Cricetulus griseus: one gene and its partner. The protein of the gene in region 2 purifies or fractionates together with the protein of the main gene of each other region. This does not show direct contact. Links are inferred from orthologs where the notes say so. Each region holds a gene or a part of one and is shown on either strand. Other genes may lie near its edges. The genes, in order: Erlin2 and Itpr1.

The links.
Region 1: the proteins of Itpr1 (region 2) and Erlin2 purify together in Homo sapiens (affinity purification with western blotting, with the first as the bait; 4 studies listed by BioGRID). This does not show direct contact. The link is inferred for Cricetulus griseus from reciprocal best matches to the Homo sapiens genes ITPR1 and ERLIN2.

The regions. Positions count from the first base shown.
Region 1 is NW_023276807.1:56,817,721-56,822,258, forward strand, and holds the start of Erlin2 (erlin-2), read right to left. Parts: upstream 2,997-4,538; 5' UTR 2,870-2,996; exon of another isoform or gene 2,731-2,869; intron 2,694-2,730; exon of another isoform or gene 2,556-2,693; intron 1,750-2,555; 5' UTR 1,735-1,749; coding exon 1,628-1,734; intron 1-1,627. UniProt on the Homo sapiens protein: Component of the ERLIN1/ERLIN2 complex which mediates the endoplasmic reticulum-associated degradation (ERAD) of inositol 1,4,5-trisphosphate receptors (IP3Rs) such as ITPR1.
Region 2 is NC_048601.1:36,112,467-36,116,278, reverse strand, and holds part of Itpr1 (inositol 1,4,5-trisphosphate receptor type 1), read left to right. Parts: intron 1-764; coding exon 765-959; intron 960-3,618; coding exon 3,619-3,812. UniProt on the Homo sapiens protein: Inositol 1,4,5-trisphosphate-gated calcium channel that, upon inositol 1,4,5-trisphosphate binding, mediates calcium release from the endoplasmic reticulum (ER).

The DNA of each region.
Region 1 (4,538 bases), on a different chromosome or scaffold from region 2:
ATACAATCATCAACGAGGAGCATTTCTGTTGGAAGGCCACAAGCAATTAAAACAATAATTGTTTTGGCAGTGCTAGGCTTGAACCCAGGTTGTCACACATTGTGGTAAAGTATTGTCATGAGCTACACCATGTTTCAGAAGCATCTGGGGACTCACATACGATATCTCACTATTTTTGAGACAGATTTTGCTACATAGCCCTGATTTCTGTAGTACTTGCTATATATAGCCCAGGATGACCCAAAACTTATAGTAGCCTTCTTGCTTCAGCCCTCACCCAAGTGGTGGAATTACAGGTGTTGAGCCACCACACTTGGTTCAAGAATAATTTTAAAGTCACTTCAATACATGTTAAGTATACAATATATGTTTTGACACATGTATATTTCTAATCAAGCTGTATATGAGTGACAAAATTAAAAGCTTTGGGGGAAAAGAAAGCAGAGGGTAGAGACAAATTACTAAAGAGGAAGTGGGAACTCAACAAAAGTTTAAACCTTTTTATTATTATTTTTTAATTAGTGGTCTTGAGTATGCTAGTCAGAAGCACTTCCACTGAGCTACAATTCTAACTCAACGAGCATTCTGGAGCTTGCTGTTCCATAAGCAAGCACTAAATAAGACCCATATAAAAGAAGGGCTCAAGCCGAACATGTCGATGCCTGCATTTAATCCTAGTATTTGGGAAGCTTGGGCAGGTAAATCTCTGTGAGTTCAAGTCAACCTGGTCTACACAGACCATTTCAGACTAGCCAGAGCTACACAGTGGGACCCTCTCTCAAAAATGGGGCAGTGGATAAAGGCTGGAGGTGTAGTTCAGTGGTAGAGTGACATGAGTTTAATCCTTGACACCACAAGCAAAACTATCAGCCTAGCAAATTGCCCCTTCTAAACCTAAAACGAAAACCTTAGTCGAAGAAGCCACTGGAAAGAAAGTAACTCAAGAGTATTTAAAGGGTCACTCTCCCAAAGTTGCCTTGATTGCTATAAATCAGCCTGCAGAGTCTTTATACTTTCTTGAAATATTCACTTTAAAACATTCTCTCAGGCCAGGACTGGTGGTACACACACCTTTAATCCCAGCACTCAGGAAGCAGAGGCAGGTGGATCTCTTAGTTTGAGACCAGCCTGATCTACAGAGCGAGTTCCGTGACAATCAGAACCACACAGAGAAACCCTGGCTGGAAAACAAACTCAACAACAACACAAAACAGTCTCTCAAATTAGCAGAGCACACTTCTCAAGTTGCCATCAAGAACTGGGGCTCCACAACTTCTGAAGGGGTAGCCTGGCGGTGTGGAGACAAGATTCTTCAAGGGATGCAAGGGAAAACAGTGTCTCGGAAATGATCATGAGAGAGTAGTGATTCCTTGAGACTTCTGTCTGTAATCCTATAAATATAAGTATCGGCATTGCCTTAAAAATGCTAATGACAATTTTAAATTTAAATAAACACACACACACACACACACACACACACACACACACACACACACACACCCTTACCCATTGCCACTGCCTTAGAAGCTCCACCTGAAAAGGGCCCCCCTATTTAACAAAATATACAGATGTTGGCAGGATCTGCTAGCCAGTGACAAGGGAGAGGAGCCACCTGTTTCTGCCTTACCTGTAATATACTCCAATATGTCCCTCTTCTATCTTGTGCACAGAAGAGAAGAGAGATGCACAAAAGAAACTGGAAGCCACAGCCACAACTGCTCCCAACTGAGCCATCAGTGAACCTGTATCCTAGAGATAAGAGAGGGGACAATGCATGGCTTGACATGTAGGAGAGAGGCCGAAGCACTGAGAGTAGCTCACCAAGCTGTAGTTCATGGAAAGTGATTCACAAGCAGACTGTTGTAGAAACACAATGCTAGCCAGATCTACATCTCATATCATCCTTGTTCTTGGTCAACATTCGGTTCCTTAATTGTGGGAGTATAATGCCCACTGCAGCGAACAGGCACTAGCTCCCTAGGCATACCTAACAGAGATCCGGTGCCAACTGGGCAGGGTTCAAAACACAGCCTTCTCTTCACTACTCATTAATGTGTTGTCACTGGAGCCACTTGTAAGTAAGGGAAGAGAGGCAGCTGCAGTGTGTTGGCCCAAATTACAGAGGATGTCAAATGACAGGCAGCTGCGGCTATGTATTTCTGGACAGAGCCTCCTACTTCTAATTGCCTGCCATTTCGAAGGAAACCATCAGTTATTCCCTTGGGACTCTGAGGAGAGAGACAGCAGGCAGTTGAGTTCCGAGGTAGGAATTCTCTGGCCTGTCATCTATCTTCCCAGTTATTCCCTTGGACTTAAACGGGTCAGATCTCTAAACAAAACTGAAACCGAACTCTCCTATATCCTTTGCCCCCAAGTGCGGTGGTTATAGGAAACTGGGAGTGCCTCAGCTTGGGGTACTCTGGGCTCCTGGAGGGTCCCAAACGTTCAGGCACCGAGATGCGACCGAGCGTCTGGAAAAACCATGGTGACGGACCGGCACATTGGCACAAGGCGCGGATTCCAACGCTCAGATCTAACTTATTTTTTTTTTTTACCGTGGCGGCCTCCAGCTGCCGAGCAACAGTAGCGTCCTCTCTGCAAATGCCCTCACCACCACCACTACCCCGCCCCACCTCGCGCCCTTTCCCCGCCCTCCTCCACGAGACAGGCACGTCCGAGAGCTTCCGCTCGGACCCGCTGAAGGACCCGTGGGCAGGAGACTGGACACACAGGGGTTCTCTCTGCTCCCGGGTGGGCGGACTGAAAGTGAGCGGCTGCGGGGTCCAGAGCTCTGGAGCTCTGCCAGGATCAGCTCCATCCCCGCGCCGCAGCGAGGCCCAACGTGCACTGAGGGGCGGGGGCTGCGTACCAGGCTGTCCCTCCAGGCGCTCCGTACACGTCTGAACCCCCGTGCAACCGCAGAAACCGCCACACCCCTCAGCACGCTACTTCCTTCCGGACCAGTCGCTTCGATGATGCCATCAATCCGCGCAAAACTCCTCCCCCTACCCCGGGTTTGTCCGCCCGCCCCGCCCCTCGCACGGCAGTGCTCGGCGGTGCCTCCAGGGGGCGCTCGCGAAACGACCCGGTGGCTGCAGGCGGACCTGGGATTGCAGGTCTGAGGATGCCCAGCGCTGGGAAAGTGGGTTCCCGACACCACGACTCTGGTATCACCTTCCGAAGTTCTGACTTTGGAGATGGCTTAGATACTCTCCTTCGATCCCGGGAGAGCTGGATTTCTTTCTGTTTTTCTTTTTCCGGAGCAGGTACCAGAGCGATGCAGCCTTCTCCTCCTCTTCTCTGCTTTTCTCTCGCACCAGCCAAATGAAAAAACTTCCAAATGTGCAGATTATGACGTCGCTAGTCAACAGCCCTACTGAATTGCTCTTTAGACTTTGAGAGCTTTGTTTAGCCTCGAGGTCCCCACAGCAACATAAAGTGATTAACAAGGAATTATTGCCCTGATTTTAATGGACGGAATCTGATTTTGTGAGGGGTGAGGCCAACAGCAGTCATGGAAAACTTCCTTTGCGTTTTCTTAATAGTCGGAGCTTCCTGTCTTGGTTAACACCTGCCACGGTGAGCTTGTGTCTGCCATCTGCACCTAGGGACAAAGTGGACCAGGAAGAGAACCAGACTTCATGTTTCCTAGACTAAGGTCTTCACGTGTTCTCACCCCGCAGCAGCGTGGTATTGGGACTTTCATATTGAGCCTTCTCTTCTATTTTGTTCTGGGGGTGGAACCAAGCGCTTTGTGGCCCCACTCTTTCTCCAAGCTGCTTCCTTAGCAGGGAATTTCTGAACCAGCCACTAAAGTCATTTTGTTTGCAGATTAGAAAGTGCCCACTTTAATATTAGCTTTAAGTAAATGAACAAAAACCTTTCCATACAGCAGATGGTCACTTGTCAAAGTTAGACGATTTTAGGACTCTGGAAAGAACCTCTCCCAAAGCCAAGGCCCTGAAACCGAATCAAAGTTCCGGGAAGCCAGATGTTTGGGGACTGCAGAAGAAAAGCAGCTGCCCCCAACCCCAGATGCCCAGTGGCTACAAAAGCAGACAACAGACCGTGTTGTCTCAAAAACAGCTTATCTGAGGGAAAGGGCTAACTCCCCATTCTGTCCCTAATGAATCCCCTCCTTGCCCACTCTTAGGTACAAACTCCAGCCTGAAGCATGGAATCTGTATTCCCCTGAACTCTGGTCATGGAGTGACTGGGTCCTGTGCCCTGATGAGGGTGTGGTCACAGCTTGAGAAGGCATCTCTCTGTCGTTAAAAACAAAAGCCTGCTTCAGCTATGTGAGGTCATCTGAATTCTCCAAAACCCAGGAAGGGCTTCCAGGGTATTACAGCCCAACAGGGCCCTTTCCTCACCTCTATCCTATCCCCTATCTCCAGTTTCAAGTTGCTTTCTCTATCAAATGCCACTCCACCTTAGTTAGTACTCACTAAGGCTAAACAGCAGGTCCCATCTAGGGCCGTAGCAGCCTCATTGATAGGTGAAGGGGGAGGGGGCTGGTTAGTCTGAAGTCTGTGTTG
Region 2 (3,812 bases):
TTCAAAAGTTATGATGCACTGGCAAGATGGCTCAGAGAGTGTAGGCAGCTGTTGCTAAGCCTGATAACCTGGAACCATATGATGATAGTAGAGAAATGATTCCAGCAAGTTGTCCTCTAACTTCTACACATCCACTGTAGCACACATCAAATAAAATGTAATAAAAATGTTTAAGTAATGCCTATTGGTCCTCAGTAAAGTAGTGACAATAATTATTGTTGATAATTGTCATACTATTATTACTGCTTTGGTAATAGTAGCAATTCACTTTTAGCAAAGGAGCATTTTTCCTGGTGACTATACTGCAGCAGTGTAGGCAGTATTAAAAAGAGGTAAGGTGTAAGCTAGTGGTGCAGTTTTTTTTTTTTTTCTTAGTTTGTAACTTAACTTGGGAACTTGCATTAAGGCAAGGTGCCTCAACCTTGGCATTCTGACATTTGGGGCTAGATGAAGCTGTGGTGGCAAATGTCCTGTCACTATAGAATGTTTAGCAAAAGTGTCCCTGGATTGTGGCTGCTCCATATTAGTAGCACTTCTTTGCAATTGTGACAACCAAAAATGTAGCCATGTATGTAGTGCGGAGAAAAACTGTCCTAGTTAAGAATTCTCAGGTTAAAGCACACGGAGACCACATAGATTCTTCATGGCTCTGACACTGGGAGAAATAAAGAACAAAGTGGCTTTCTGTGTGTTTCTGGCTGGAGGAGGAGCAAGATTTCAAAGGATTTCATAAAAACTGAGTTCCATCTCTTCTTTTCATATAGGTTGGTTCTTTCTCGTTTTGAGTTTGAAGGCGTTGCCACTGGAGAGAATGCTCTGGAAGCTGGAGAGGATGAGGAAGAGGTGTGGCTGTTCTGGAGGGACAGCAACAAAGAGATACGTAGTAAGAGTGTCAGGGAATTGGCACAAGATGCTAAAGAGGGACAGAAGGAAGACCGTGATATCCTCAGCTACTACAGGTGAGTGGGGGGCCTGCTGGGCATGGACTGAGGGGTCCCACAGTGGTGGCACTTGGGAGCAGATGGTTTTCTTGTTGATCACTCTAAGGCAATGCTGTGGGGTGTGGATTTTAAACAACTTTTTCACAGGAGTCTCCTCAGATCATCAGAACACAGAGATCTTTGCATTATGATTTATAACAGTAGCAAAATTATAGTTATGAAGTAGCAATGGAATAATTTTATGACTGGGGGTCACCACAACATGAGGAACTGTATTAAAGGCTCACAGCATTAGGAAGGCTGAGGCACTGCTCTGAGGAGTGGTGTGGTATCCTGTAGTAAGGTTGCCCAACAGAAAGACATATGTGTGTTTTATGAGCTTTTGGTGGAAGGTCCCATGGACTCATAGTCCATCTTTGTCTGGTTGTGTGTCCAGGTCATAGGACACACAAGAGCTTGCTCCAGCCTCTGTCACACCTCACCCATACAGCACTGCTTGTCTATAGTACAGTCAGCAGCATGCAGGCTACAGGGTCAGGCTGTATCTGTTCAAATCTTCATCTCTATGCTTAACTAGACTTTTTACTTTGGCTGAGTTTGACTTTATGTTCCAAATCCCTCATCTTCAAACTAGGGATAATAGTGCCAGACTTCTAGAACATCTACAGAAAATCTCTCCCTGTATATACCCGTACCTGTATTTTCATATTCTACTTATCTGTGTGCATGAATCAAATATATTATAAAACCAGGGGTTTGCAATAATACAACTCATGCAGCCCTGGCCTAATAATTCAGAAATTGAAATACAGAACTGTTGGAACCCCTAGCACGATGCTCAAAAAGATTGAGATTTTGGAGTATTTTATATTTTCAGATTAGCAACATAAAACTGGTAAAGTTTATGCAAGATCACAAAAATCTGAGGAACTCTAGTACTGGATACTTTGGTGTGGTGCATTTCTGATGGGGGTGGGGGTGCTCCGTGTACTCGATCAGTTCTTGCCAAATGCCACAGATGCATTCTGGCTGCCAGCCTCCAGTTTTCGTAACTCCCTCAAGCCACTGTCATTCCTGGGATGTTCACCTGCTTGCTTGTGTTTGTTGTATGTCATCACTGTCCACCTGTGCTGTCACCTCAGTCCCTAGTCCTGGTCCCAGCTCCAAGGCCATATAGCCTTGACACCTGAAGCAAAAGAAAAGAAAAGAAAAAAAAAAGAAGAGACGTTGCCCACTAAATAACTCTAAAAGAAAAGGAAAGAAAAATTAGTACTTCTAATATTTCCTAATAAAATAAACAGACTTTTGCAGTTAAAATGCCTTTTCTTACTCCTGTATTCTAGTCTGTTCTCTTCTATTTATATATATGATGGCCTTTTTTTTTCAAAGTTCTTTGTTAATTTTTAAGGTATTTTATTTTATGTGTACACAAGTTGCCTGCATGTATGCATGTGCATCACCACATGTGTGCTCACTGCCTATGGAGGTCAGAAAAAGGCACTGGATTCCTTGGAACTGAACCTATGACCGGTTGTGAGCCACTGTGTATATGCTGGACACTGATCCTAGGTCCTCTGCAGGAACAACACATACTTTAGTCACTGACTCATCTCTGCAGCATCTCCTTGTATGTTTATACTGTATTCCATGTGTATATGTGGATGTTTCCTATTCCTCAAATTGTATGTAAATGCTACCTTGTAGCAGATACCATTCTAAAGCTCTCCTTCATGCTGTTTCTAAAATATATATATGAAAATATCATCTCTGTGTTAATGGAGGTAGACAGTTTCTCTAACTTTGACTGTTGTATGCCATCTATTTTGCATTTGACCTTTCATTATGCCACAGTTCAGTTCTTCACGTCACACGAAGGGCACATCCTCACTTAATTTTGCGTATACACATGAGTTTCCATTTCCTATGAAGAGGCGGATTGGTGGAAACCCATGTTTTTAACTTTGCTGAGCAGTCCTAAACTGAATGGTTCAATCTACATTTTAGCAGTAGCAACTTATGTGATAGAAGACCCTAGAGATATTGTCGAATTTTTAAAAAATAATTTATTTTTATTGTATATGCTTTGGTGTTTTTCCTGCATATATGTCTGTGTAAGGATGCCAGATCCCCTAGAACTGGAGGTATAGACAGTTGTGAGCTATCATGTGGGTGCTGGGAATCGAACTTGGGTCCTTTGGAAGAACAGCCAGTGCTCTCAACCACTGTGACATCTCTCCAGCCCTAATATTGTAGAATTTTCATTACACTTATATGAACAGTGTCTTTGATATTTCCTGCATGGTCTTTGATGAGTATAAAATGCAGGGGTGAAGTAGAAAGATATTATTTCAGGCCTAGTCATTTTTTTCCCTATTTATTTTATAAGATGAAGATTGCAAATGTAATCACATGATGACACAATTGCTTTAACACAGCTAGACCGATGTGTTACTATGGGATGCTGGCCCATACTCTGGCATGCCTTGAACATTTCCTCCATCTCCTTAGTTCAGAATCCAAAATTAGATGTATAACAATCATTTAGGGATGTCGGTATATAAGTTCATAGGAGTGACCTATGTCACTCCTATGAAATCTGAAGCCACCTGGACTCCCCTGTTGAACTACCCTCATATTGCCTGATCTCTGGAGTATGAGCCTTCTGTTATTTTCTCAGGTATCAGCTTAACCTCTTTGCAAGGATGTGTCTGGACCGCCAATACCTGGCTATCAATGAAATATCTGGCCAGCTGGATGTTGATCTTATTCTTCGCTGTATGTCTGATGAGAACCTACCGTATGACCTCAGGGCATCCTTTTGCCGCCTCATGCTTCATATGCATGTGGACCGTGATCCTCAGGAGCAGGTGA